Canis lupus familiaris: one gene and its partners. The main gene of each other region encodes a partner of the protein of the gene in region 4 in a complex. Links are inferred from orthologs where the notes say so. Each region holds a gene or a part of one and is shown on either strand. Other genes may lie near its edges. The genes, in order: PABIR1, RBL1, ARPP19 and PPP2R2A.

Region 1 (7,757 bases), on a different chromosome or scaffold from region 4:
GAGAAGATGATGTATTTAATGAGAAGGAAGCAAGCCAGTGAGGGTGGGGTACAGAAAACAAGAAGGAGGGGCAAGGGTCAGATCCCCCAGGGCCTCCCGGGCCAGAATTAGTATTTTGGTATACCACAAACATAACAGGAAGCAAATGAAAAGCCTTAAGCTGGGCGATGGAAGATCAGATATGCAATTTTAAGAGGATTACTTTAGCTGCTGTATGGAGAATGAATGGACAGCCTACCAGAGACAGTGTGAGAGGGAGAGATGGGAATTACGCTAGAAGTCTCGGAGGGAAATGAATGGTAGCCTGGGTTGGGGTGGCAACAGAGATGAAAACAAAGTAATAGATTCTGGAAAAGAAAATCACTAAGACTTGGAGAAGATTCGGAGGAAAGAAAAGGAAGAGATGTCAAGGGCGTGGTGGTTCCTGAATTTATATACATATATACATGAAAATGAGGGGTAAAACATCTTATACAGTATATCTTGAATTAACAGAAATTAGCAACAGGAAGGGAAGATGAATTTTACATAGTAAAAGGCAGACTTGCAGTTTTTACTATATAGGTATCTGCATTGTTTAAATACTTTTATAATCAGCAGGTATACATTCTTTCATAGTTAAATTAACATGCAATAAAAAAAGAAACAAAGCACTTGCCTGGCTGAAAAGGACAGGAATGGCATTTTAGGGGAAAAGAACAATCCATCCAAAGGCACAACACATGAAAGTACATGGCATATTTAAAGAATATCAAGTAGTCTAGTGTTTGCAGAGTAAGAAGGAAGGATGTGTGTCGGGGTAGGATGAGCAGAGCTGTGAAGCTGTTTTACAATATGCCCGGTTCACGAAGGACAGTATTATATGCCAGGTTACAGAAAGCATTCCCTACACCGTGGGAAATGAGGATGCACATCGAGTTTTCAAGCGGGAGGGGGGAAAATCAAGTTTATATATCAGAAAGATCACTTTAGAGGTGGGGTGAAGACCAGGCCAGAGGGGAGGTGGGAAATCACTTAGGCTGGAACCTAAGCTGAATCAGAGGCAACAGAAGCAGTGTAGCGGAGAGGTCTCAGGTTCACTTCAGTAGACAGAACTGAGTGATCACGCTGGATGTGACAGGGAAAAGGGGAAAGTCAAAAACGCTTTCTATGGTTTCTCGTTTAGAAAATCAGCGAGCACATCAATTTAGGTAACTCAAGAACAGGTTCGATGAAAAGATACTAACTTTTGTTTTGGAGATGCTGAGGTTACAGTACGTCTGGAAGCAGATCAAGGTACCCAACAGGAAGTTGGACATACTGGAGGAACAAGGTCAGGACTGGCACACATGAACTATTACCCAGAACAGAGAATTTTAAGCCTGTGGACACAATCTTACCCTCAACATAGTTTCATTGAACTCTTAAGGCAACTTTCAAAAGTTGACTAGTTCCATTTATTCTCGTAGTTGTAAAAAAAAATTCCACATAATTGTTAAAGTCTCTGTAGGCAGTTACTTAAAGAAAGCCGGAGCTTTTTGTCTTGGTCTCTTTTATTTCTTCCCCTTTTTTTGTCTGCCATTCTTTCTACCTATCTAGTAAAGGAAGATATAGGAAGGTATAATATAAAAACATTTGTTATTAAATATTTTCATATTTTGTCTTAGTTGTAAAAGGCAAAGAAAAGAACATTTCACAATTCTACCTTTAACAAAATCTAAGTTAAATAACGATTTACCTATGTGACTCTCCACTGATTTTTTTTTTTCTCTTTCAAGTCACTGACCCTTAATCAACTGGCATCCCCAAGGCAGTCAAATCCAGCTGTGGCTTTAACTACACAGGTTCCTGCAACAATTCCACAGTTCTGTTGTTGCTCACTGTCGGAAATCCAAGTCACACTGTACCTCTGTCTAACCGATGATGCCCTAGTTTGGTGGGAGGTGGAGAGGAAGGACCTGTTGGCAAGGAAACAGCGGCTTCCTTCCTGAGCCAGGGAAAACCAGGAAGGTAACAGATGGGCAGAGCAGAAAAGCAGCCAAAAGTTGCTCTGGCTCCTTGTTGGCAGGGATTTTCACTGAGGCACAATTGGATATTTTAAAGCATATCAATGATTGAGAGATTTTTATCTGCCTGGGTGCTCTGGTGAAGTTCAACAGGGCTTCCCACATTCTCTACATCTGAGAAACTTTTAAGTTTGCAGTGGTACAAAGGACCTGGTCTCAGCCTATGTACAGTGGGCTAAGACTGCAAGGCACTGTCCCATGTCCCTTCAGGATTATACCCAAGAGAATGCACTTTCTGGTCTAGAAAAAATTTTTAAACTTTTCTGTAGTTATATTGGCATGACTTATTAGAATTACTATTAAAACTTCATTAGAAAATGCGTTTGTTTACTTTTATATAGTTAATTTAAAAAGACTTGTTGCAAACTTTTATATTTTGTTTTTATCATTCCCCCCTCACAGCCACTTGTGTACCCAGAAAATTAAATATCCGAGGATTCCTGGGTAAAATAGACAACCACTGGATCACTATGTTATAACTAACATATTTTTAAAAACCGCTGTAAGTAACTAGGTTATCCTCCATCAAATAGAAATTAGCGACCACTGGAAAAATAACATCAAAAATTAGTGTGGGCATGAAATATGGAATTTTAAAACATCAGTTTACTATACTGATTAATTCAACATTTATATTTGCATCAGAACTTAATAATCCCATAAATAAATAGAGCTCTCGATTATTTTAAAAAATCAAGGGATAACATATGTATTTAAACATATTAGCAGCATAAAGACGTATGCTTCAACACACTTATTGGAAAACGTCTGAAAATATCACTACACTGAATTCAAGGGCACCCGCAGGAACCTGACATAAAAGTTCTCTAGAGTAACAACATCTCAGGAAATTCCAAAAAAAAAAAAAAAAAAAAAAAAGGAAAGGGTCGAATAGGAAATAGCCTCAAATTAATTGACAAAGTTCAGTGCTTGCTCCAACTTGATTTTTCTCTCCATTGCAAAAAAAAACAAAAACAAAAACAAAAACAGAAAACAACGAGTCTCGGGATGGGAGGGTGAATCACTTAGATGAAAGTTCATCTACTGGAATAAATGGAGAGGCCGCTTGGGCAGGCGACACAGGAGAGTCGGTGGTAGTGCTGACTTTCGCTGGTGAGTTACAAGAAGATCCGGCGCTGCTGCTGTTTCCGTCAAGGGTATCAGACGATACGCACACGCCAGGATCTGACAGCTGTGCAACGTCAGAAGAAAGCATGTTGGTGATGCCCTGGAAAAATCTCTTTGGCTGATACTCAGTTTCCATTTCACATTTTCTTTTCAGTGGTCCAAGAACACTTGGTCTAATGCAATTGATGGGACTCTGGCTTCTCCGGGTAGTAAACCGAGTCGTTGGGCTGGGAATAGGGCTCGGAGGCAATCCATTGCTACTCACAAAACTTTGCAAGGATGGTGAAAAGCACTGCTTCCCGATCCCCCGGGTGGGTGACGGCGCTGGTGACACCGGAATGAAATCGATGCGCTTCGGGGAGGCGGACTTCTCCGCGTCGTTGTCACTCAGGCTGAAACTTTCCTCCCAGGAGTGGCTTATCTGCATGGCGTTCTGCACCTCGCGCTCGTGGACGGTCTCTCGGTTGATGAGGTCCATGCCCTCCTCCTGCTTGATCTGGTGCAAGCGGCTGCTGTGCATGCGGACCGGGGAGGCCGGCAGCAGCAGGCCGTGGCGGTTCGGGAACGTCGTGCTGTTCCGCCGGGCGCTCGGCGCCTCGGCCTGGAACACCGGCGAAGTGTCACTGAGGCCGTGGATCAGGGGGGCGCTGTTAGACCTCCGGAGGCCCCCGCCCGCGCCGCTGCCGCCGCCCTCCGCCGGGCTCCCGCCAGCACCCGGAGGCAACTCCAGGTCTAGCTCCATCTTCTCCTGAGCCATGTCGGGGGCAGGGAGGCGGGGGCGGCGCTCAGAGACCTGGGATTCCCATTCCCCGCGGTCCAGGGCCAGGGCTGGGGCCACCGCCGCCGCCGCCGCCAATCTGTCAGCGGGCTCGTCCTCTTGCGCATGCGTGCCCCTCCGCGCAGGCGCCCTGAGATTTCTCTCCGCGCGGCGCCTGCTTAATGCGTCATAGCCCGAGGGGGAGGGGCGCCGAGGGGCCCGGCGGCGGCCGTTCAGCCCTTTTCTTCCGCAATTAGCTACTACTACCGAGCCGCAAGCTCGCGGCGACGCGGCTTCCGAAGGTCACCATAGTCCCCGGAGTCTGGGTGTAGCAAAGCAGAGCTCTGACAGAGAGGCTGGTGGCGATGCGGGGGCCGTACGAAGGGGAGCGGAGCTTGGCCTAAGCAGGGAGGGCTTCCCTGAGGAAGGGGCCGTCTCCTGACCTCCGGAGGACACGGAACGGGAGCGGGCTGCGGGGCGTCCAGGAAGGGGAAGCGCGGTGGGCGGCGGGGACCGGGGGAGGGGGGGGGGCTGGCCTGCCGGAGGTGGAGGTGGTGGCCCGGGCCCTGATCCTAAGAACAATGAAAGCTCCGGGGGTGGGGGGGGTGGGGGGGTGGGGTCAAGGAAAGGGTGTAACCCCCGCAGCGAAGCCTGCAGGCTGCTGTCTGCAGGGAATGGGGTCGTTGGGAGAGGAGAAGCAGCAGGAGGGAGCAGGAGGGAGGCCGGAGGAGAGGCAGTCCTGGAAGCAGGGGTGGGGGGTGAGAGGGGGAGGCTGTTGAGGCCCCGGAGCGAAAGCCAGCCTGTCCCTGGAGCCCTCTTAATTTAGTCCCGTTTCCAGCACGAGCATGTGTGCTCCAAGATCATCTTCATTCCCTACGAGGGTTTAAACGGAGGCAAAAGTAAGAGGGCTTCACGCTCTAAAAACACAACACTCAGCTTAGGCAATTAACATAAATTTTGGTATCATGAAAATCACGGTTTGGGGTTTTTTGTTTGTTTTGTTTTTGCATACCTACTATGCACTAAGCACTGGTAGGAAGGAGGCCCTAATAGGAGGGCATTTCATTTCTACTGCAAGGAAAGAGAGAGATGAATAAATAAAGCTGTTTTCAGATCGTGGTAAACCTTAGGAAAGGGGGGAAAAAAAAAAGATGGTGTGATAGAGCACTACTGATAGAAAGGGGGGGCGGGCAATTAGAAAGGACGGAGATCTAAATTCCAGATGCAAGTCACGCTGACATCTGGGGGATGCATACTCTAAGCACAGAAGACAGCACGTGCTAGTAAAGCCCTAGACATGTCAGTTTGGTGAGCTGGCGCCAAGAGAAGAAAGGGCAGGGGGGAGAGTGGTTGTGAGGGCGCAGAGGAGTCTGGATCTCTCATCCCAAGTACAATGAAAAGCCACTGGGGAGTTTAAAGCAGGAGAGTGGTGTTCTTTTGGTTTAGGTTTTAAAGATCACTTGGGCTGGGTGGGAATTAGGCTGAAAGTAGGCAAGGGTGGGAGCAGAGAGGCCGATGAGGAACCGACCGCCGAGGCGCAGGCAGAGGACCCGGCTAGGGTTGTAGCCGTGGTGACAAGGAGAAGTAGAACCAACAGGACAGGCCTCAGATGGGTTGGATTTAGATGATGAAATGAACAGGCCATTCAAAGGCAACTCCTAGGTTTCCTGCTTCCGCTGGATACACAGCATGGTCACTTACGGAGATAGGGATGGAGTGGGTTTCAACAGGTGGGAATTAAGACTTCTCCCTTGGGCGATGTGAGTTGCAGGTGGCTATCGGACAGCCATGTGGCTGTCTGAACCGAAAGAAAGCTTAGTGATTTTTGTTCATTCTTCTCTTTTTGCAGCTGAAGGAAAAAAAAGTGACGTTCACCATCACACAGCTTGTTTAGTAGTGCGAACCAGTACTAGGATCCAGGTTCCTAGTCTATGCCTCTTTTTCCACTGTTATCTCAGAATAGCTTTTCGTTTGAATTCCCTGTGAAGTACAGGTCCTAATGATATAATGTTGATTAGTCATGCTTATAATTATATAGAAACTGATTTAAGCTTGCCAGGTGTCAGACACTATTTAAAGGGCTTCACGTGTAGTACCTTATTACTTACCTCCTCAAAACAGCCCTTTCAAGGAGGTATTATTGTCCTCATTTTGCAGGGGAAAACAGATGCAGAAATTAAGCAATGTCCCCAGGATGAGAGTAAAGGGCAGAATCTGAGCGTTCTGGCTCCAGAAAGCCTGGGCACCATGTTGCCTCCTAAAAGGGCAATGATGTTTTAGAATTGGGAGAAGCCACTTCCAGATTCTTAGCTTTGCAAAGGCAACAGTACTTGAGGCAGGATTTAAAGGATAGGGGGATCCCTGGGTGGCGCAGCGGTTTAGCGCCTGCCTTTGGCCCGGGGCGCGATCCTGGAGACCCGGGATCGAATCCCACATCGGGCTCCCGGTGCATGGAGCCTGCTTCTCCCTCTGCCTATGTCTCTGCCTCTCTCTCTCTCTCTGTGTGACTATCATAAATAAATAAAAATTAAAAAAAAAAAAAAGGATAGGTAGGATTTTTATGGAGCGATGGTCTTTTTCATAGAGATGCGACAGCATGACAAAATAGTGAATTTGCTAATACATGATGTGATGTACGTGGAGAAGAACAATAATGGGGAAAAACTTGGAAATGGAAGTGGGAGTGAGAGAACCGGGGCTCTGAATGCCAGCCAAAAGGACCCAAATTTAACATCTGAGGCAACAGGAAACCGTGGAAACTTTCTGACAAGAGGAATGACGCTATGAGAACTATACTTTAGGACCTGCCAGACAGCTCAATGATGGAGTGAAGTCGAAGAATGGAAGGGGGAAGAACCAACACCCACGACTTGCCAGGCACTTTAAACACTCCACAGTCCCACTGCATCCTCATTGCAATCCTACAAATTAGATATTGTTATGCTCATTCTATAGCAGGACAGCTGAGGTTAAAAAATGGCAAAAGGAGGGCATCTGGGTGGTGCAGTTGGTTAAGCATCCGAATCTTGGTTTTGGCTCAGGTTGTCATCTTGGTCATGAGACTGAGCCCTGCATACTTAATGTGGAGTCTACTTAAGACTCTCCCTCTCCCTATGCCCCTTTCCCTGTGCTCACTCTTGCTCACTCTCTAAAATAAATATATCTTCTTTAAAAAATTTGCAACAGGCCCTACAGCTACACAGAAGAACAAAGACCTGAGCCAATCTGAATTAAGGTCCTACTTCAAAACCTGCATTGTTTTTGCTGCCTTTCTCACAGATTAGAGAAGGAGAATCTGATGGCTAAACTGCGAGACAAAAGGAAGGTCTAAGCTCAAGTTGGGAGCGGCAGAAAAAGGAGATGGATTTGAGAGACAGGAAGGTAATGACAGTACCCGACTCCTTGCATTTATAGAGGATGGAGAGAGAGGTGTCACAAATGACAAATTCAAGCATGAGTGGCTGAAAGAATGGTACCTTATTGAATAAAAACAGGAGAGAGATGAGGAAGAGCCTTCAGAAGTAAATTAATATAGGATAAATAGAAAAAAGCATGAATTATGGAACTTTTTAATAGTCACAGCATAATGCTAATTTTTGTATTATTAAATTATTACTCGTGGCTCAAAGGTGCCAACATTGTTCATCCACATCTGGATAAGAACAATTATCTTTGGGGCAGCCCTGGTGGCGCAGCAGTTTAGCACCGCCTGCAGCCCGGGGCGTGATCCTGGAGACCGGGGATCGGGTCCCACGTTGGGCTTCCTGCAGGGAGCCTGCTTCTCCCCCTGCCTGTGTCTCTGCCTCTCTCTGAATAAATAAATAAAT
Region 2 (7,020 bases), on a different chromosome or scaffold from region 4:
CAGGGCACAGTCTGCTTGTTCTTTTCCCTCTGCTCTTCCCCCCCACTCATGCTCTCTCTTCTCTCTCAAATAAATAAAGAAATCCTCAAAAAAAATTTTTTTAATTAAAAAATGAAGAGGGGCTTATACCAATACCTTTATGTAGCCCATTGTATAGTTTCTTTACCAAAGTAATAAGATTTTTGCTCTGATTTTTTTTTCATTTTTTAGAGAAAGAGTGGGGGAGGGGAGAGGAAAAAAATCTTAAGCAGGCTCCACACCCAGTGCAGAGCCAAATTGGGGGGCTCCATCTCACAGACCTGTTGCTCTGATTTTTAATATCTCTTTTTTAAATTGCCATGTCAGTTGTAGAAAGAGTATTTTAGCATTTTAATAAACCCACAACTTTTCTAAGATTTTATTTATTTAAAGAGCACAGGGTGAGGGGCAGAGGGAGAGAGAGAATCTCAAGCAGACTCCACACTAAGCATGGAGCCCAATATGAGACTTGATTTCATGATATTGAGATCATGACCTGAGCTGAAATCAAGAGTGGGATGCTCAACCAACTGAGCTACCTAGGTGCCCCAACATACAGCTTTTCTAAATGCTAATGGAAAATTCTGTGAATAAGCAAAATACCTACTTTTCAGATGTGACAAAAGTTATGTTCTTTTTCCATGTATGTCTCTGTAGAAAGATAAATATTTGAAGCAGAGGGGCACCTGAGTGGCTCAGTTGGTTGAGCATCCACCTCTTTTTTTTTTTAAGATTTTTTTTTTTAAGATTTTATTTACTTATTCATAAGAGACACAGAGAGAGAAAGGCAGAGATAAAAGATATAGGCAGAGAGAGAAGCAGGCTCCATGCAGGGAGCCCAATGTGGGACTCAGTCCCGGGACTCCAGGATCACACCCTGGGCTGAAGGCAGGTGCTAAACTGCTGAGCCACCCTGGCACCCCTAATCTTTTGATCACATATCCCTGAACTAACTTTAGATGAACAAGTATTCATTTTTCACATAGCTCTTGATCCTTTTTTGGACCATAATTGTGTGTGCGTGCAGGCACATGCATAGTCTTTGCTTTACATCTAGTGCTAGATTATAAAAATGTGCAAGCTCTGCATACAAAACAATCTTCATAAGCAATGGAAATGATTAGGATTATTTTATGATCTTTAAGAAATTTTACTGGGTGCCTGGGTGGCTCAAGTTGAGTGTCTGCCTTTGGAGAGGTTCATGATCCCAGGGTCCTAAGATCAAGCCCCACATTGGGCTCCCTGCTCAGCAGGGAGTCTGCTTCTTCTTCTCCCTTTGCGCCTCTGCCCTGTTTTTGCTCTCTCTTGCACACGCTTTCTCTCTCTTCCTCAAATAAATAAGTTAAATCTCAGGGCACCTATGTGGCTTAGTGGTTGAGCTTGTGCCTTTGGCTCAGGTTGTGATCCTGGGGTCCTGGGCTCAAGTCCCACATCTGGCTCCCTGTAGGGAGCCTGCTTTTCCCTCAACTTATGTCTCTGCCTCTTTATGTGTCTCATGAATACATAAAGTCTTTAACAAAAAAATAAGTAAGTAAAAAAAAAAAAAAAAAAAATAAGTAAGTAAATACGTAAATGTAAAGTGTTTTTTTTTTTGTTTTGTTTTTTTGTTTTTTAAGATTTTATTTATTCATGAGAGGCAGAGACACAGGGAGAAGCAGGCTCCATGCTGGGAGCCTGACCTGGGACTCAATCTGGTTCTCCAGGATCACGCCCCGGGCTGAAGGTGGCGCTAAACCGCTAAGCCCCTGGGGCTGCCCCTAAAGTCTTTTTTAAAAATGCAACCAAGAGAATCAAATAATGAAAAAATCCTTAGAAAACAATTAATATTGAGCCTTGACTCTGGGCAGAAGAAGACAATTAATTAATTTGTATATTTATTAGTTGTTCACTGTAGCTTTTCCACAACTGGGCTAGGAAAAGATAATTTGAAGGGGTTTACAGCTAACTTCATGGCTATAATGTGAATCCTCTATTGAAATGTCAGCTTTTAACATTTCTAGTCAGATTCAACAGCTGCCTTAGATTTCTTGTGTGTAAGGATCCAGGTTGGGACGCCTGGGTGGCTCAGCCGTTGAGTGTCTGCCTTTGGCTCAGGGCTTGATCCCAGTCCAGGGGTCAAGTCCCACATCGGGCTCCCACTTGGGAGCCTGCTTCTCCCTCTGCCTGTGCCTCTGCCTCTCTCTGTGTGTCTCTCATGAATAAATAAATGAAATCTTTAAAAAGAATAAGAAAAAGGATCCAGATAGACTCCCATTAGTAATGGGAGCTACAATAAAACTTAATACTTTCTACTGAGGTTGGGAAATCAGAGCCGCTTTCATAAGCCCCAGAATTACAGAGAGATTTTTGTTAAACCATGACTATTTGTCCACTTACCTCATTAATACAGAGAGCTGTCAAATCATTGCCAGAAGTAATCTTTATACCTCGTAAGCATGTTTTGAAAATATATTATATGGCTGTCTAGTTATCTAGTGAATGTAAAAATAAATAGTGAAATGTTTTTTATTTTCTTTAACATTTACTTATTTAAGTGATCTCTTCCATTCTGGGGCTCAAACCCAAGACTCCCAAGATCAAGAGGCCCATGTACCACCGACTGAGCCAGCGAGGTGCCCTGAAATGCTTTCACTTAAAAAGCATAGTATATGAGTGCCTGGCTGGCTCAGTCAGTGGTTTGGGGACCTCTTGATCTCAATTGTGAGTTTGAGCCTCATGATGGGTATAAAAATTACTTTTAAAAAGTTTTAAAATAGGGACGCCTGAGTGACTCAGTGGTTGAGCATCTGCCTTCAGCTCGGCGTGATCCTGGGATCCTGGGATTGGGGTCCTGGATTGGACTCCCTGCAAGGAACCTGATTCTCCCTCTGCCTGCCTGTGTGTGTCTCATGAATGAATGAATGAATGAATGAATAAATAAATAAATAAAATCCTTTTAAAAATTAAAAAAATAAAAAGTTTTAAAATAGGGAGGCTCAGTGGCTCATTTGGTTGAGCATCTGCCTTGGGCTCAGGTCATCATCCCGGAGTCCAGGATGGAGCCCAGTGGCATTGGGTTCCCTTCTCAGTGGGGAGTCTGCTTCTCTGTCTGCCCCTCCCCCCACTTGTGTACTCTCTTTTTCTCTCTCAAATAAGTAAAATCTTTTCCAAAATAAAAAGTAGGGGCGCTCAGGTGGCTCAGTGGTTGAGTGTCTGCCTTTGGCTCAGGTCGTGGTCCCAGAGTCCTGGGATGGAGTCCCACATCAGGTACCCCCCGGGGAGCCTGCTTCTTCCTCTGCCAATGTCACTGCCCCTCTCTCTGCGTCTTTCATGAATAAATAAATAAATTTTTTTTAATAAAAATAAAGAATAAAGGGGCGTCTGGAGGGCTCAGTTGGTTAAGCATCTGACTCTTGATTTTGGCCCAGCTCATGATCTCAGGATCATGAGATTGAGCCCTGCTTCTGCTCTGCACTGGACTTAGAGCCTGCTTAGGGTTCTTATTCTCCCTCTCCTGCTCCTCCTCCTGCCCCACGTGTGCGTGCATGCGCGCTCAAATAAATCAATCAATAAATAAATAAAACTTAAAGAATAAAAAAAAATTTAAAGAATAAAGCATATCATATTCCTGTAAAGAAACAATGGATTGGGGAAGGTAAGGAAGGATTAAAGATGTAGGATTGTAAGGGGCTAGGGGAACCTTTGCATTTGGTAGAGAGGGAAAGCTGCTCCTATGGAAGGATAGCATTGAAAATAGATATAATCTATAACCTAACTTTATTTTTGATCAACACACTGCCAACCCTCAGATTAAGGCAAGTTAATCATATCACCTTTATGTATCTTTATCTTCTAATGGGCTTATAAAAGATGATTCTGTACCTACTAAGTGAGAAAGCCATAGTACCTTAAACTGCTTATGTGTGGGCATATTGGAAGAAGCAAAACTGTGAACCAAATCACTGATTTTCCTTATTTACTAGATAAAATTGAGGGACAGAAGCTAATTGGACTACTTCAATTTAGTGGTCACTTCATTCTACCTCTCAACCTCTACTTTACCCTTAATGTTTTGCTCCTTTTTTCCTTTTTAAAGATTTTATGTGGGCAGCCCCGGTGGCGCAGCAGTTTAGCACTGCCTGCAGCCCGGGGTGTAATCCTGGGGACCCGGGATTGAGTCCCACATTGGGCTCCCTGAGTGGAGCCTGCTTCTCCCTCTGCCTGTGTCTCTGCCTCTCTCTCTCTCTCTGTGTCTCTCATGGATAAATAAATAAAATCATTAAAAAATAATAAAGATTTTATATATTTATCCATGAGAGACACAGAGAAAAGGCAGAGACATAGGCAGAGGGAGAAGCAAACTCCTCGCAGGAGCCCAATGTGGGACTCGATCCCGGAACTCCAGGATCATGCCCTGAGCCACCCAGGTGTCCCTTGTTTTGCTCCTTTCGTAGTAGGCAGGAGTTTGGGAAACCAAGAAGATGAGTTATCATAATTTTCACATGTAATGACTTTTCATTCTTTCACTAGATTTTCTTATATTTCATGAAGACAGAAGCCATGTTATTTACTGCTAAATCCCTAGTGCTTAACATAGTAGCTCAATATCTATTTTTTGAATGAATGAGTATGATGCATTATTTGGGAATATGATCAAACTGTTTTAAATTTATTTTTCTGGGATCCCTGGGTGGCACAGCGGTTTGGCGCCTGCCTTTGGCCCAGGGCGCGATCCTGGAGACCCGGGATCAAATCCCACATCGGGCTCCCGGTGCATGGAGCCTGCTTCTCCCTCTGCCTGTGTCTCTGCCTCTCTCTCTCTCTCTCTCTCTCTGTGACTATCATAAATAAATAAAAATTAAAAATAAATAAATAAATAAATAAATTTATTTTTCTTTCTATTAGATATGCAACCATTGTCTCCAATTTCTGTCCATGAACGCTACAGTTCTCCTACTGCAGGGAGTGCTAAGAGAAGACTTTTTGGGGAAGACCCCCCAAAGGAAATGCTTGTGGACAGGATCATAACAGAAGGAACAAAATTGAAAATTGCCCCTTCTTCAAGCATTACTGCTGAAAATATATCAATTTCACCTGGGCAGAGTCTTCTAACTATGGCCACAGCCATAGTCACAGGGACAACAGGACATAAAGTTACAATCCCATTGCACGGTAACATTTTAATGCCTTTATCTTATATTTTTTCTGAATTGGTTAATTAAGATTTGTCTTGCTGGATTGGATCACGTGGCCTTTTTAACCCAGTTTCTTTTGAACCTATACTATTTTTTTTTAATTTATTATTTTAGAGCAGTTTTGGGTTCACAGCAAATTGAGTAGAAGGTACAGGGGTTTCCCATATACCCACTGCCACACATACACAGCTTCCATCACCATCAGCATCCTGCACCAGAATAGCATATTTGTTAACAATGGATGAACCTACATTGACACATCATTATTATCCCAAGTCTATAGTTTACATTAGGGTTCACTCTTGGTATTGTACATTGTATAGATTTTGACTAAAGTTTAATGACACATATCCACCATTATAGTATTATACAGAATAGTGTCATTGCCATAAAAATCCTGTTTCCATCTTTTGTTTTTGTTTTGTTTTGAACTTACACGGTTTTTTGAATTTTCACATTTTAAAAATTTACCATTCTTTTTGTTAAGACTATTTTACTTTTTTATCTGAGCTTTATGAATGAGTTGCAAAAATCTTGTTTCTTGATTAAAAACATCTCCTTTAGAGTTCAAAAGAAAACAGTATTTTTTCAGAGCAGAAATAGAAAACAAGGGTGTTATAACCTAGAATTAAAAAAAAAAATCTAGAATTAATATTTTTGTGGATTTCTTCTCCTTTTCTCACCTATTCCTATGTTTATACATAGATAGTTAAAGATAATTGACAACCTTTCTGGAACACATGCAGCTTATTTCTAAAACTGAAAACTCTTGTTTATATGTTTAGGTATTGCAAATGATGCTGGAGAAATCACACTGATACCAATTTCCATGAACACAGCTCAGGAGTCCAAAGTCGAGAGTCCTATATCACTTACTGCTCAGTCATTAATTGGTGCTTCTCCGAAACAGACTCATCTGACTAAAGCGCAAGAGGCACATCCAACTGGAATAAGCAAACCAAAGAGAACTGGTTCTTTAGCACTGTTTTATAGAAAGGTATGTGATTTTATGGCATCCAAAAGATCTCATTTGGGGTGCCTGGCTGGCTCAGTCAGTAGAGCATGTGACTCAATCATAGGGTTGTAAGTTCGAGCCCTATATTGGGTATAGAGATTATTTAAAAATAAAATGATCTCATTTAATCAGTGCATCTATTGAGTAATAGAGCACCTTTAGCATTCTCTTTTGTGTGTATGGTAAAATATACATAATATAAAATTTATCATTTTAACCATTTTTAAGTGTACAGTAAAGTTTCATTAAGTACATTCACATTGATACACAGTTTTCACCATCATCCATCCCAGAACATTGTCATCTTCCTAAACTGAAACTCTGTTCCAATTACAATAATTCCCCATTCCTCTTCCCACCACCAGCTCCCGGCAGCCACCATTCTTCTTTCTGTCTCTATGCATTTAACTATTCCAGGTACCTCATATAAGTACAAATATGCATCCTTTTGTAACAGGGTTTGTTTCACTTAGCATAAGTCTTCAAGATTCATCCATATTATAGCATCATTCAGAATTTCCTTTTTAAGTCTGAATAATATCCCACTGTATTTATATATCACATTTTGTTTTTCAATTCATCCATACATGAACATTTAGGTTGTTTCTACCATTTGGTTATTGTGAATAATGCTGCTATGAACATTAGTGTACAAATATCTACTCAAGTCTCTGTTTTCAGTTTTCTTGTATATATACCCAGAAGTGGAATAGTAATTCTGAATTTAATTTTTTGAGGAACTGTCATACCATTTTCCACAGTGTCAGCCCCATTTTATATTCCTGCTATAGAGACGCCTGGGTGGCTCAGGGG
Region 3 (7,020 bases), on a different chromosome or scaffold from region 4:
TATTTTAAAATTAGATTTGATGCAAATATATTCTACGAAGCTATATTTATAATATAATGAACATCTTTCTCATTCTGCTTTTCTACTTATTCCCTACATCACATTATCTTTATGCTTTTAAATAACCACAAAATATTCTATTTTGTTGACATCACAATTTAACTATTCCTCTGCTGCTGAATACTTTTATTCAAAGTAGCACTCTTGCTACTTCTAATTATAAAGCTGTAAATAGGAGCAGCCCTGGTGGCTCAGCGGTTTAGCGCTGCCTTCAGCCCAAGGGCCTGATCCTGGAGACCAGGGATCGAGTCCTATGTTGGGCTCCCTGCAGGAAGACTGCTTCTCCCTCTACCTCTCTCTGTGTCTCTCATGAATAAATAAATAAAAATCTTTTTAAAAAATAAATTAAAAAAATAAAATAAAATAAAATAAAATAATATAAAATATAAAATATAAAATATAAAATAAAATAAAATAAAATAAAATAAAATAAAATAAAATAAAATAAAATAAGAAGCTATAAATAGGGGCGCCTGGGTGGCTCAGCGGTTGAGCATCTGCCTTTGGCTCAGGGTGTGATCCCAGAGTCCCAGGGTCGAGTCCCACATCAGGATCCTTGTATGGAGCCTGCTTCTCCCTCTGCCTGTGTCTCTGCTTCTCTCTCTATCTCATGAATAAATAAAATCTTTAAAAATAAATAAAGCTATAAATATCTTCAAACTTGAAGACGTTTTCCTTATACTGAATCCCTCAAGGGATTATTCAAAGAATATGAACACCTTTATAAATCTTGATCCATATCCCTTCCCACAAGGAGTAATAATTTTAAATGCTCCACTCAACAAAGAGAATATTAACTATATTCAACTTCAACCTCACCAGTATTACTGTAAGTATTTTTCTAATTTTGTTGTATTGTACTATGGTATATGATCTAATGTACATTTCACAGATTTCCATCATGGATAAACATTTTTCTGCACCTGATATTTTTCCTGCTAAAATTCTTTATCTAGGAGCACCTTAATGTTTTTCTTGAGTATCTGAAAAATCCTTTTATGTACTATAGATATTAACTATCATTTTTGTAATAATTTTCCCACTGAATTACTTCTCATGAACACAAGTTTTACTTTTTTTTAAAGATTTTATTTATTTATGAGAGAGAACACGTAGGGCAGGGAGAAGAGGTAGAGGGAGGGCAGCCCTGGTGGCGCAGCGGTTTAGCGCCGCCTGCAGCCCACGGAATGATCTGGAGACCCTGGATCGAGTCCCACATCAGGCTCCCTGCATGGAGCCTGCTTCTCCTTCTGCCTGTGTCTCTGCCTCTCTCTCTCTCTGCATCTCTATGAATAAATAAATGAAATCTTTAAAAAAAAAAAAAAAAAAAGAGGTAGAGGGAGAAGCAAGCTTCCCACTGAGCAGGGAGCCTGACACAGGTCTCAATCTCAGGACCCTGAGATAATGACCTGAGCCCAAGGCAGACGCTTGCTTAACTGACTGAGCCACTAAGGTGCCCCCAGAAACTTTACCTTTTTATATATTTGGTATAATTCCTACCTGCCTTTGAATTCCTAACTTTGAAATAATATTTCAAAGCTGTGAACATTATTCTTTCATATAAAACAAACAAAAAAAAAAAACCTGTACTTTTTACCACTTTTAAAATTAAGTTTTTATGTATTTATTTTGAATTGCTAGAATTTTTATTAGGCGAGCTTTTTTTTTTTTTTTTTAAAGTAACCTCTACCCTCAACATGGGGCTCGAACTCATGACCTGGAGATCAAGAGTCACATGCTGTACAGAATGAGCCAGCCAGGTGCCACATTTACCATACTCTCCCGGTATTAAAACAAAGAACGTATGATTTCACTTACATATGGAATCTAAAAACATTAAACGTGTAAAAACAGCAGAATGTGGTTGCCACAAGCTGAGGGGTGGGGGAAATAGGGAGATACTGGTCAGAAGGCACACACTTTCAATGATAAAACGACTAAGTTCCAGGGACCTAATATACAGTAAGTTAACAATACTGCATTGTATACTTGACAGTTGCTAGGAGTAGAGCTTTAATGTTCTCACGTAACAACAAAATGGTAATTATGTAAGGTAAGGGATGTGTTAACTAACCTTACTAGTAAACATTTCACAACATGTATGTTGTGAAATCATCACACTGTACACCTTAAACTTACACAATATATATGTCAACAGTATCTCAATAAAGCTGGAAAACAATATCCTTTTGCAATTTGAGAAAATAATCATGTATAGCTATGGCCAATACCTATACATATAAACATACACATACACATGGATAGGTGTTGGTTAACCAAACAGCAGATACCAGTATGTTCAAGTGTTCAAGGTATTTACTTAAGGAAAAACATGATTTGGCACCTGATTCAATTAATAATTCTCTTCATCTTTCCCTGTTCCCTGTGTGGTAAATAAAGTTACTTAAAAAAAAAAAAAAAGAAAAGAAAAGATGGAATCCTTTGATTTTTCACAAAGAGGTCAAAAAAGAAAACCTAAGGATCTTGTTCAAGTAGCATTATCTCAATTCAGATCTCATTACTGAGCATTAAATGGTTTCTACCTCACAAAGAATTGGTAAGATTTTGAAAAAATGTTTTCAGTAATTTGAACTACTAAAATTACCATGTATAAACTGTATTAGAGTAACTGTAAAATGTATTATGTAAAGGAGATAATAAGCTCTGCTTACATAAGTGATTTCATCCAAATAAAAAATATTTTTAGTCTGGCATGGAAATCATCTTTAAAACAGGTAAAAGTTAAAAAAAATATATGAGTAGAAAGATAAATGCCAGCTTCTGGATAGTCCTAACTTTTGGAAAGAAGGGGAAAGAAGGATATTTACACACATGTGGTAGGTTTCAACTATATCTACAACATTTTCTTTCTTACAAAGATAAAACTGAAGTAAATATGGCAAAATATTAACATATTAAATCTGAGTGGTAGGTACATGGGTTCTGCTATATTATTATCTGCACTTTCCACATGTTTAAAATAGTTTATAGTTAAATAAGTGATGAGTTGTTCATTCTTATACGTATTTATACAATAAAAGGTATAAAATATAGGAAAATTATGTATCTATATATCTGGTAAGATACAGAGTTATGTACACAGACACCCATTTTGTAATCACAATCAGCACACTGAATTCATAGGGTTTAAGCATCTGAAGATCATATAGAGAACTTACCCCTTTCTGCAATCGTTTCCTTAAGAAATCTGAACCTCCAGGCTTTTGTCCCAGATGAGGATACCTTGCTTTTAATTTTGCTTCTTCAGCTTTCTCTGGACTAGTCACTTTATCTTCCATTTCCTGAAATAATTTAAAATAACTTGTCTATTACAATTTACTTATTTAAAACAATTCACCTTTTAATATCTAGATCTGGACTTCAGTTGTCGAATGCCAAATACTGCAGCATCTGACTGAGAAATCAAGCACAGAAGCTTTTAAAACATCTCTGTCTTGTTTTTCAAATGATCCATGTGATAGCTCTATTATAGCTGTGATGCATGTGTACACCCCACACACTGGATAAAAATATCAAGATAACTCAGCTCTGAAGGCTTGCTTGCCATTACTTTCCAGTCATGTATAATACATTTATAGTTAGTCACCTTCCATGGAACTCATCAGTTCTTTGCCTGCATTCAGAGAACCATCTTAATACTCTTAAAACACAAAAAGATCTGTTAATCCAGATTCATGTATGATTGGAAGCACTGAGATTCTTTAATAGGAATTAACAACTTATTTACCAGAAGATTTTCCCTAACTCAATATAGAAGACCTTTTTAAAAAAAAATTTTTATTTCTCTTAAGTCATCTCTACACCTAACATTGGGCTCAAGCTCACAATCCCAAGATCAAGAGTTGTATGCTCCACCAACTGAGTCAGCCAGCCACCCAGCCTTGGTATTTTTAAAGAGAAGTATCTTTGTCAATCTTCCTATCAGTGTATATTATTCCCTAGTTTCCCCCTGTATTTAATGACAGACCGCTCATACCAAAGGTACCATTCTTCAATGTATCAAAAATGTGTTTTCTAACCAAATGACTATCAATATTTTAGGACTATTCTCTTTTTTTCTTTTAAAAGATTTTATTTATTTGAGAGAGAGAGCACCAGCAGGGAGAGGGACAAGCAGACTCCCTGCTGAGCCTGACATGGGGCTCTATCAGGGGACCCTGAGACCATTACCTGAGCTGAAGTCAGATGCTTAACTGAGGCATCCAGGTGCCCTTTTTTTTTTGTTTTGTTTTGTTTTTTTGTAAGTAAGCTCTACAACCAACATGGGGCTTGAACTCATAACCCCAAGTTCAAGAGTTGCATGCTTTCCAACTAGGCCAACCAAGTGCCCCAAAGCCTATTCACTCAATTTTTTTGAAAAGCACATTTAATACAAATTTTATGTGATACAGGAGGCTTCATAAACATGAAGACCAAAGATATGTTTAAACCTCATTTTTATACTAGGTTTAATCAAAAGTAGAGAGAAAATGAAAAAAATATGACAGGACAAAAAGGAACATGAGCTGAGAGTGGTAAATGGAGGAAAGGAGCAAGGCTTATTTGTTCAGTCTTCTTTGTGTCCCTCTATCTTTGAAGGTAGGGGAGTTCCTTTCCTCCAGCTATACAGAAGGCACCTCTCATTTGCGGATCTTATTATCTGCTTCAGGGGAAAGCCAAAAGTCCTTTCTGCACATGCTATTTCTCAGATGCCTTCAGCTTATAATATCAAAATCCCAAAGTGCCGTACTTTGGGTAGCATTCTTCTATTTGAAAGTTTCCCAAGAAATTTCATGGTTCAGAAACTGAGGTCAATTATCCCATAACCCAGTGAATCAGTCTCAGTCCTGGGAATAGATCAGTCCTTTCAAATAGTTGTGTCTCATTTCAGGACATGGTGGTTGTACCTACATTAGGTTTTTATACGGTATGATTGCTCATACTACTGGCATTTAAGAAGGGACATTTTTCTTGCATTGACTTTTGTCAGTTTTCCCAAGATCCCAGCTGCAGACTCTAGTGATTGGAGTGTCCTAGTGTCCTTCATGGTCAACAGAAACTACTTGTCAAGTTGAAAAAGGTCCTGTCCCTTCCCATTATTCTTTCTCCTCTTCTCAAGCTCTTCATTCCCCTTCCAAGTGGATCCAATCCCCATCCACAAGGTAGAGCCACAGGACAGAAAGGCTGAGTCCACTAAAACCCACCTCCCCCCTTTTTTAAAGATTTTATTTATTCATGAGACACACACAGAGAGAGAGAGAGAGAGGCAGACACATAGGCAGAGGAGAAGCAGGCTCCCTGTGGGGAGCCTGATGTGGGACTCGATACCAAGACTCTGGGATCAGGATCTGAGCCAAAGGCAGACAGACACTCAACCACTGAGCCACCCAGGTGCCCCAAACATACTTAACTTTTTTTTTTTTTAAAGATTTTATTTATTCATGAGAAACACAGAGAGAGAGGCAGAGACACAGGCAAGGGGAGAAACTGGGTCCTCATGGGGAGCCTGATATGGGACTCGATCCCTGGATCCCAGGATCAACGACCTGAGCCAAAGGCAGACGCTCAACCATTGAGCCACCCAGGAATCCCAAACCTACTCACTTTTAACAGCAGTCTTGATATAGTCTACTTTTTCCCCCCAAGAACCATACTTTATAGGGGAGCAATGTTTATCACTTTGTGGTAAGTACTGAAGAAGAATCAATCAATCAAGAAAAACAAAGCTGGGATCCCTGGGTGGCGCAGCGGTTTAGCGCCTGCCTTTGGCCCAGGGCGCGATCCTGGAGACCCGGGATCGAATCCCACGTCGGGCTCCTGGTGCATGGAGCCTGCTTCTCCCTCTGCCTGTGTCTCTGCCTCTCTCTCTCTCACTGTGTGCCTATCATAAATAAAAAAAAAAATAAATAAATAAAAATAAATAAAAATAAAAAAAAAATAAAAAATAAAAAAAAAAAAAAAAGAAAAACAAAGCTGCCCTGATAGGCAATGCTGGGCAAAGACAAAATGCACCTTCCAGCTAATGAACTCATTTCTGTATGTCAGCCAGGCAAAATCACATACCTTTGCATATCTCAATTCTTCCAGGTTGGGTGCGGGTGACTGGATGACGGGCACTGAGGGGGGCACTTGATGGGATGAGCACTGGGTGTTATTCTAGATGTTGGCATATTGAACACCAATAAAAAATAAATTTATATAAAAAAATTCTTCCAGGTTATTTATGAATGTCAAAAATGAATGAATATCCATAAATGCCAAGCCTTCTGTTCCTATACAGCAAGCAAATCATTTATGCCCAAAATAACTTACGATTTTTCCATCCATTTTCCTCAAAATTGTATTAATGCATGCTTTATAATTAGCTTTGTTGACCTTATACATTGTCAGTATTTCCCTCATCTTGACCAGCTTCCTCATGTGTTACAACATCTCATTTTTAGTCTTGGAATATCTTGAGATTAATGCTGCTGCAGCTGCTGTCAAATATACTTTTTCTATGGGGCCTCCTTTATATTGTGTGCTCCCCCTTCTGCTTCAAGTGCTCTACCTTCCTCCTTTTATGCTACAGTCTCATGTATCTATTTAGATTTTCAGTCTCTTTAAGTGGTCATATCACTTTCTTGATATACACAAAATTCAACTCTGTGTGCTCTGCCAGAGACAGAGCCTCTAAATAGTATCAGTGACTCTGCCAGTCATTCCATTCAAGAAGAGTATGACCCCATGGGATCCCTGGGTGGCGCAGCAGTTTGGCGCCTGCCTTTGGCCCGGGGCGCGATTCTGGAGACCCAGGATCGAGTCCCACATCGGGCTCCCGGTGCATGGAGCCTGCTTCTCCCTCTGCCTATGTCTCTGCCTCTCTCTCTCTCTCTCTGTGACTATCATAAATAAATAAAAATTAAAAAAAAAATTTTTAAAAAGAAGAGTATGACCCCAAAGAGAGCTCAAATGTGAGGT
Region 4 (7,020 bases):
TTCTGAGAAGCAGCAGTAAAGTACTAAAGAATGTCCCTCTACTGGGTATATCTGCGGTTTTCTCATGATCAGACTGGGATCACTGGGTTTTTAGGAAGAATACCAGAGGTGAAAAGAAGGTATACATGGTATCAACATTACTTTTCCACTGGTGATGATAATTCTGTTCACTTGGTTAAGGCAGTATCTGCCAGATTTCTCCATTGCACAGTTACTAATTTCCCCCTTCTCATACTCTATTCTTTGGAAATGAATCTCTAAGTCCAGTCCACACTTAAAGAAGAACCAAGTTACAGTCCCTATAAGGAGAAGCATCCATCCAAATATTATTTGAAATTCTCCTGTAAGAAGCATCTCCCCTCCCTGCTTATTTATTCAACTAATTGTTTATTTAAATCATTACAAAAAAAATCATTACAGACTCATGCATGTTTATTTAATGCTTTGTGTTATAATCCTAAAATTGCATTCATTATCATTCTTAATGGTCCTTTCATGAGCAATTTGGTACAATTTTTAAAAATAGCGTATAGAGATACTTTATAAAATTTTATCATATAGAGAGGTAGCAGGGACTCCTGTAGCCCTGCCACCTCTCTCCGCCTGGTGGTGAAGAGCATGCTAGCTACCTCTGCGAATAACCTTTACAAAGAGGAGTATAAGCAGAAAAGAACTGCTAACTTTACTAACTTGTAATCTAATATTTCATCTAAACCCTAGTGATCTTGGTTAGAATTATCATGAAGTTAAGTTGTGTTTTCTATGTACTATGTTTATTTTATAGATATACATATAAAATATAAGTTAGGTAAAGATCTATATATTTTAGGATATTTTACTTGTCCCCAAATGTTATTAATAAGTCAAGCCTAAACTCATTATTTTGGGAGTATCTAAAAATAAGGATGAAAAGCTTCCCTTCACCCAACCCCCATAACTGCCTTGTGCCCTGTACAAATTCATCATCCTTACCAAAGGTCCAGATAAATCACCATGCACTTATCAAAATTTTCAAATAAGATGTAATTAGTTTGTGGTTTCTAATAGTGTTTTAGGAAGAAAATTAATTTTTTTTAAATCACGAAGAACTGAATAAACAGATTTTTAAAAATATGCTACACTTTAAAAAAATTTTATGTGATAAAATTTGTCACTTAAGAGGTTTAAAAAACTTAATAGCATAAACACAGGATAGAAAAGTACTATACAATTTCAGTGCAATGCTTGGAAACAAGGCATGTCAGAAATAAAATATTTTAATAATTAGGACAAATTTTTAAAAAGTCAAAATTAAGCTCTATAGTAGTGATTTAATTAACTGTAGTTTTTGGCCAACTAGAAGTATGTGACAATAATCAAACTCCATAGAACTACATGCAAAATTATGTAAATATATGTATTTTTCTGTAAGAGTATTATTGGATTCCTTAAAGAAATCTGTCATTTCCAAAAGGTTAAGAGTGCTCTATGGTGTTTCCCTACATTGTCAATACTAATGAGTAAAGAGTATTCCAGAAGTCCAAAAGTCCCAGTGTTTCTCTCACCATAAAGAGAGAGTAGGACAGGGAAAACCATCTACCAAGTTTCCTTGTGGGAATGAATGTAGCTTTGTTATTAAAAAACTTATTAACAGCTGTTAAAACACAAGGTATTTACTGGTAAACTCTGTATTACTCATATATTCAAGATCCACGGTCAATAGGTTAGAGGTGGACATTTTGCAATGTGGAAGAATTGTGGAAAACTCTGAGAAAGCAAAAGGAGATGAAAGAGAATAAAGTTACGTGAAGATAAATTAAATGAACCAAAATTGTAAGGAGGCCACTGTGAAGTTCTGTGAATAAAAATGACCTGGGAAACACTGGACGGTTGATGATGACCATGGGAAATCCATATAAGACCAAAGTGAGATTATTTTTAGTCAATCAAAGGTGGGGGATGTTTCATGCTATTTTCCACCACCTCCCTTTAGGAGTTCATCTTTTATGAGCCAAAAGGACTGTTACATGTAGGGGAAGAGGAATTGTTATTCTCAATCTTACAGAGGCAAACATACCAGATAATATAAAGTTATGACTTAGATTTAAGAGATACTGACATTCTCCCATTATTTTCTTTCTTTGTAAACAATAAAGCTCTCCAGATATAGCTTAAGTTCTATTCCTTCCATCCTTTTCCCATCCCACCACATCCAGACACAACAGTCTGTAAAATTCCCACTTGTATCATTCTTGTACAGTGGGTTCTGTTTTTTATCACAAAAAAATAATGTAGCCCCAAATAATTGTATTTTATTTAGTGCTCATTAACAGTAACAACAAAAGACAGAAACCTACAATGCACTGTGTAGTGCCCTTTAAAATAATTTGTATTATTAATCAATGACTTAAAAATTCACATGGTATATCTATTTGGGAGACACTGTTGATTGTCTATAGAAAATACTACACAGGATAGGATCACATACCTAAGACCCAACGACTAGAATTCCCAGGGCCTCTCCCTCTACTGAGCGTTTGTAGAATTTACTGTCTAGAAAGGCTCATCTGGTTACACACATGCAAGTATGAACAGAGAAGTGAGGGGTAATTAAGATTTAATCCATAAATGAATCGAAATGGGATTTGTTCCCAAACAATACTGAGGAGGGAAAGCAGAAGTACCTGAACAAACAACTGGCTTCGAACTGAGAAGTGCTAAAGCTGGATGATGGGTACATAGGACTTTCTTATTCTAGTTCAGCCTTTATTTTAAACATTTCCCATTATTAAAAAGAAAAATACTTTATCCTGTAAGAAGTGAACTGCCAAAATTACTAAGAACAAATATCCCAATACGTGAATTATGTATGTCCCAACACATCTGCTTGGGGCATTTATCATCATCATCATCATCATCATCATCATCATCATCATCATATATATCACATTTACTACCCATAACAATACTATTACATTATTACCATCATCAGTTTGCTGATGAGGAAAATTTGACTTGTGTTATAATGTGCCAAAGGCAACTAAACCAAGATGTGGCACAAATGGTACCTGATCTAAAATCCAGTGGTAAAGTCCTCTTTTTTCACTACAGAGTGTGTATATACCAAGTGAATATGGACACCTGAGATCTTTTTCATAGAATTTAAAAACTAAAAGAAAAAAGGGAAGACAAAGAAGAATTTACACATCATGTATAGGGAAGACGTCTATTTCCAAGTGTCTATTTGTAGAACTCTCTGAACATCTATTCCTCTTTGTAAAAGTTAAGTATTGTACAGGATATATGTACACACACATATATAAAAGGCATATAAAAGGAAAAAAATTTAACACTTACCATTGGTAGACAATAAAAACTGAGCAGCATTTTTCTGGGGTAACCACCTAATTTTGTTGATCTTTTCTTCTATTTCTAAACTTTTCAAGTAGTCAAACTCTGGTTCATGGCTCTGAAAGGTGCTGTAAACATTATATTCTCCTCTGCTATGAGACTGGATTTTGTTCTAAAATGGAAACAAAAATATTTGGACCATTGTTGAGAAATATTTCAAAACATAAACATGCAATCAATTCCAACAGACCTTGCAAATTCTGGTTAATTAATTACCTGCATCTTAAATACAACTATAGTGGTTTTTTTTTTTTTAAATATTTAAGGCCTTTAGGAATAAATAAAACAGCTCCTCACAAAAAATGGAAAAGCTTAATAAAAAGCCTGAGCCCAATTCAATAGGAAAATGACATTAAAATATTGATCAATCTGATTACTAATTTATCATTATATAATAAATAGTAGAGGACTACTAGTAAAAAAAAAAATCTAAGCACCCTTAATGAGGGCGCTCACCTTTTTAAAAAGGGAAAATTAAAATAAAAAATTAAAAGGGAAGAATAAATAAAAGCTTGTTAGAAAACAGCTGGCTGCGGCACACTTTCTCTGTCCACTGTAGGGTCAACCATAAATCAGTTATTTATTGGATGTATTGTCTTCCTCCTCTTCCTTTCCCATGCCTGTCTCTAGGTCATGTCACTGCTGAAAAACTCTTATTTAAGAACTCCATCAATGTAATAGTATCATCTGACCCCAGCTTCTCCCAAGACCACAGTTACAGAGCTCTGTGACTCATTAAGTTCACATAAAGCATTACCCAGCAAACCTCACCCCACAAACCCATCGACAATTTCTTCCTCTCCTTAAGTTAGCCTTATGAGCCTAGCACACACTGATGATTTATTTCAGTTAGTATCTGGGTAAGTGAATACAGTTTAAACTATTAGCTAAAGCAACTACTTGTCAACTTCTTCAGTTAACACTAGTATCTTCACAAAAGTGAGAATTATAACCATGAGAGAATTTCACCTTTTAACCTATTATCACATGATTAAAAATCTTTCCGTCAAAAACATTAAAAGTCTAGTTCAAAGAAGAACCTATGGAAAAATAGTTTAAAGGAAAGATATTACTGATAGCCAACTATTCAAAAGTAAAAGTGAATTTATCAAATGAAATGTTTAAGATGACTTGATTAAAAGAATGGCTCATTATTGTTCTACATATAAAAGAAAACCTTAGTGAATCATCACCTTAAAAGCTTGTTTTGGGTTGTTTTTGTACAGCAGCTTGGTTATCTGGTTTGGTCATTCATGGTTCCAGTTATATTTGAACCCTCTGATAGCAGTATCAATTATTATTGAGTTTGCCAATATTAAGAATGCAAGGCATACCAAAAAACATAATCCCCACTGGGGATTAAAACCCTAGTCTCGGGATCCCTGGGTGGCGCAGGGGTTTGGCGCCTGCCTTTGGCCCAGGGCTCGATCCTGGAGACCCGGGATCGAATCCCACGTCGGGCTCCCGGTGCATGGAGCCTGCTTCTCCCTCTGCCTGTGTCTCTGCCCCTCTCTCTGTGTGTATGACTATCATAAATAAATAAAAATTAAAAAAAAAAACCCCTAGTCTCATTACCACAGTTTCTTTTTTTTTTTAAGATTTTATTTATTTATTTATTCATTTATTTATTCATGTCTTCATGAGAGACACATAGAGAGAGGTAGAGGGAGAAGCAGGGCTCAATGTGGGACTCGATCTCAGGACCCTGGGGATCATGACCTGAGCCAAAGGCAGATGCTCAACCACTGAGCCACTCAGGTGCCCCTCTTTACCACAGTTTTATGCCAAATCACATAACCTAATCTATTAAATATGTATACGCTACTATTGCTTTATAAGAAATTCAATAAATCTTTTACCGAAAATTACTGTTTCTAAAGGTCTGTTGTGCTACTCTCAAAAAAAACCCTTAACAGCAATTCAATTTTTAATATGAATGCTGTTTTTTGAGCTTAAGAAACTACAGCACTGTGTACATCAAGTCCTACAAATATAGAGAGATTTATTTTTATTTTTTTTTAATTTTTATTTATTTATGATAGTCACAGAGAGAGAGAGAGGCGCAGAGACACTGGCAGAGGGAGAAGCAGACTCCATGCACCAGGAGCCCGACGTGGGATTCGATCCCGGGTCTCCAGGATCGCGCCCTGGGCCAAAGGCAGGCGCCAAACCGCTGCGCCACCCAGGGATCCCTATAGAGAGATTTAAAACCTACTTCTACCTTTAAGTAACTTGTGTAAGGTTTTACTAAAACCTTAGTTTAATAAAAAAAAAAGTAGGTCCACTTGATTCAGGTAAGCGATATAGAGAACGAAAGGCAAACACATACAGTTCTTTATGCAAAAACTGGGTTTATATGGGTCACAACATAAAAGATGGTAAGAAAAACACAAACATAGGAACACACCCTCTAAAACAAATGAACAAAACAACCCCATCACCCTAAAGACTCAATAATTACCACATGGTCTAAACATCTATTAAAGAATGCAAAAACAGAATCATAGAGGCGATTAGAGATTAGCAGTCTTAATGGATTTCAAGAAGCATGTTTCTTTTCAACAGAGGAAAAGAATACACTACACAAGAATGTTATGCCTACAAGTTAGAGATGCCAGGCTGGACTTGTATATTAATATCCATACTCCTTAAACTCTACTAAAATTACAGTGAAAGAATTTTTAAAAAACAAATCAACAAGAACAAAGAACAGCAGCAGATATGACAGCAGTAGTAACAAAGAGAAGAAACCATAAAAAAGATGCATGAATGGAGACTGACTTCATGGACTGCAGAGAGCTGGACTCGTAGCCAAAAGTGGGTTGAGATTTTGCCTAAAACTCAGGGAGAGATGTTTCTATTATTATAATGATCATGACAGCGAGCAAGTATGAACTAAGTACAGTGAGCAAAATATGAAAAGGAAATGCAATTCCCTGTCAACACTGTGTCAAAGAAGAATGCACTTAAAAATGCTTTTTTGTTTCAAAATTTCCCTACAATCATGGAGAATTGACACATTCTAGAAAGGCTGCATATTTGTGTTTTACTTGCAAGGCTGTTTACAACTCCCTTTTCTGTAGCCTGTTTTCACTAACAGAGGACCTACTTTCTTAACCAATCTATTTATATAAATAAATATATATACATTTAAACATAAATACAAAAGTTTAAAAGAGCTTTATCTTCAAAACATGTAATAGTGTCTGGCGTATAACAGGGATTCAATAAAGATTTTCTAAATGACCAGAAAGAGTAAAAGGTGGTGCTGGTACAGTAAAGGAGGTTGGAATTAACCTGGCAATTAAGAGTATAGTGCAGACATGAGGAGAAATGGGTTAGAGGTACATATAGCAAGACAAAAAGATCTTGAAAACGTAGCCCTTAGTTTAAAAACAAACAAACAAAAAAAAAAAACAGGAAACAAAATGAGATGTGAGATATAGTATTCATGTGCACTGAAGACACAGTACATAAAAATGCAAATTAAACATCTCAAAAAATAAAATTAATAAATATATAAAGGATACTATACATGACCAAGTTTTAAAGCAGAGTAATAAAACACTGTGGTACTCACACAGTACTTACAAATAAACCAATGGAACAGAACAAAGGGCCCAGAAATAG

The links.
Region 1: the proteins of PPP2R2A (region 4) and PABIR1 are in contact, whole or in part, in a cryo-EM structure (PDB 8SO0), measured with the Homo sapiens proteins. The link is inferred for Canis lupus familiaris from reciprocal best matches to the Homo sapiens genes PPP2R2A and PABIR1. Residues at the interface, in NP_002708.1 of Homo sapiens: Phe84, Leu87, Lys88, Ser89, Leu90, Tyr178, His179, Asp197, Met222, Glu223, Leu225, Thr226, Glu227, Val228, Tyr337, Asp340, Phe343; in NP_612206.5 of Homo sapiens: His81, Ser82, Ser83, Arg84, Leu85, Ile88, Lys89, Glu92, Arg99, Glu100, His103.
Region 2: the proteins of PPP2R2A (region 4) and RBL1 are in contact, whole or in part, in a cryo-EM structure (PDB 9C6B), measured with the Homo sapiens proteins. The link is inferred for Canis lupus familiaris from reciprocal best matches to the Homo sapiens genes PPP2R2A and RBL1. Residues at the interface, in NP_002708.1 of Homo sapiens: Lys88, Tyr178, His179, Asp197, Leu198, Met222, Glu223, Glu224, Leu225, Thr226, Glu227, Val228, Ser247, Arg278, Ser279, Phe280, Phe281, Ser282, Glu283, Ile284, Ser287, Tyr337, Phe343; in NP_002886.2 of Homo sapiens: Ser615, Pro616, Leu617, Met618, His619, Pro620, Arg621, Val622, Val625, Arg626, Ser629, Leu632.
Region 3: the proteins of PPP2R2A (region 4) and ARPP19 are in contact, whole or in part, in a cryo-EM structure (PDB 8TTB), measured with the Homo sapiens proteins. The link is inferred for Canis lupus familiaris from reciprocal best matches to the Homo sapiens genes PPP2R2A and ARPP19. Residues at the interface, in NP_002708.1 of Homo sapiens: Lys18, Gly19, Ala20, Asp23, Asp24, Asp29, Ile31, Thr45, Asp47, Gly49, Arg51, Val53, Phe55, Val73, Thr76, Gln78, Glu81, Pro82, Glu83, Phe84, Leu87, Lys88, Ser89, Glu91, Glu93, Tyr178, His179, Asp197, Leu198, Asn221; in NP_001293124.1 of Homo sapiens: Lys42, Pro43, Gly44, Ser46, Phe48, Leu49, Arg50, Arg52, Leu53, Lys55, Lys58, Tyr59, Phe60, Asp61, Lys75, Pro93, Asp97, Leu98, Pro99, Pro103, Leu105, Val106, Ala107, Ser108, Lys109, Leu110, Ala111.

The regions. Positions count from the first base shown.
Region 1 is NC_049222.1:89,250,500-89,258,256, forward strand, and holds PABIR1 (protein FAM122A), read right to left. Parts: upstream 4,046-7,757; 5' UTR 3,931-4,045; coding exon 3,067-3,930; 3' UTR 1,414-3,066; downstream 1-1,413. UniProt on the Homo sapiens protein: Acts as an inhibitor of serine/threonine-protein phosphatase 2A (PP2A) activity. Inhibits PP2A activity by blocking the substrate binding site on PPP2R2A and the active site of PPP2CA.
Region 2 is NC_049245.1:26,289,659-26,296,678, reverse strand, and holds part of RBL1 (retinoblastoma-like protein 1), read left to right. Parts: intron 1-4,902; coding exon 4,903-5,169; intron 5,170-5,977; coding exon 5,978-6,189; intron 6,190-7,020. UniProt on the Homo sapiens protein: Key regulator of entry into cell division. Directly involved in heterochromatin formation by maintaining overall chromatin structure and, in particular, that of constitutive heterochromatin by stabilizing histone methylation.
Region 3 is NC_049251.1:18,487,958-18,494,977, forward strand, and holds part of ARPP19 (cAMP-regulated phosphoprotein 19), read right to left. Parts: intron 3,363-7,020; coding exon 3,240-3,362; intron 1-3,239. UniProt on the Homo sapiens protein: Protein phosphatase inhibitor that specifically inhibits protein phosphatase 2A (PP2A) during mitosis. Inhibition of PP2A is enhanced when ARPP19 is phosphorylated.
Region 4 is NC_049246.1:31,380,739-31,387,758, forward strand, and holds part of PPP2R2A (serine/threonine-protein phosphatase 2A 55 kDa regulatory subunit B alpha isoform), read right to left. Parts: intron 3,503-7,020; coding exon 3,337-3,502; intron 1-3,336. UniProt on the Homo sapiens protein: Substrate-recognition subunit of protein phosphatase 2A (PP2A) that plays a key role in cell cycle by controlling mitosis entry and exit. Involved in chromosome clustering during late mitosis by mediating dephosphorylation of MKI67.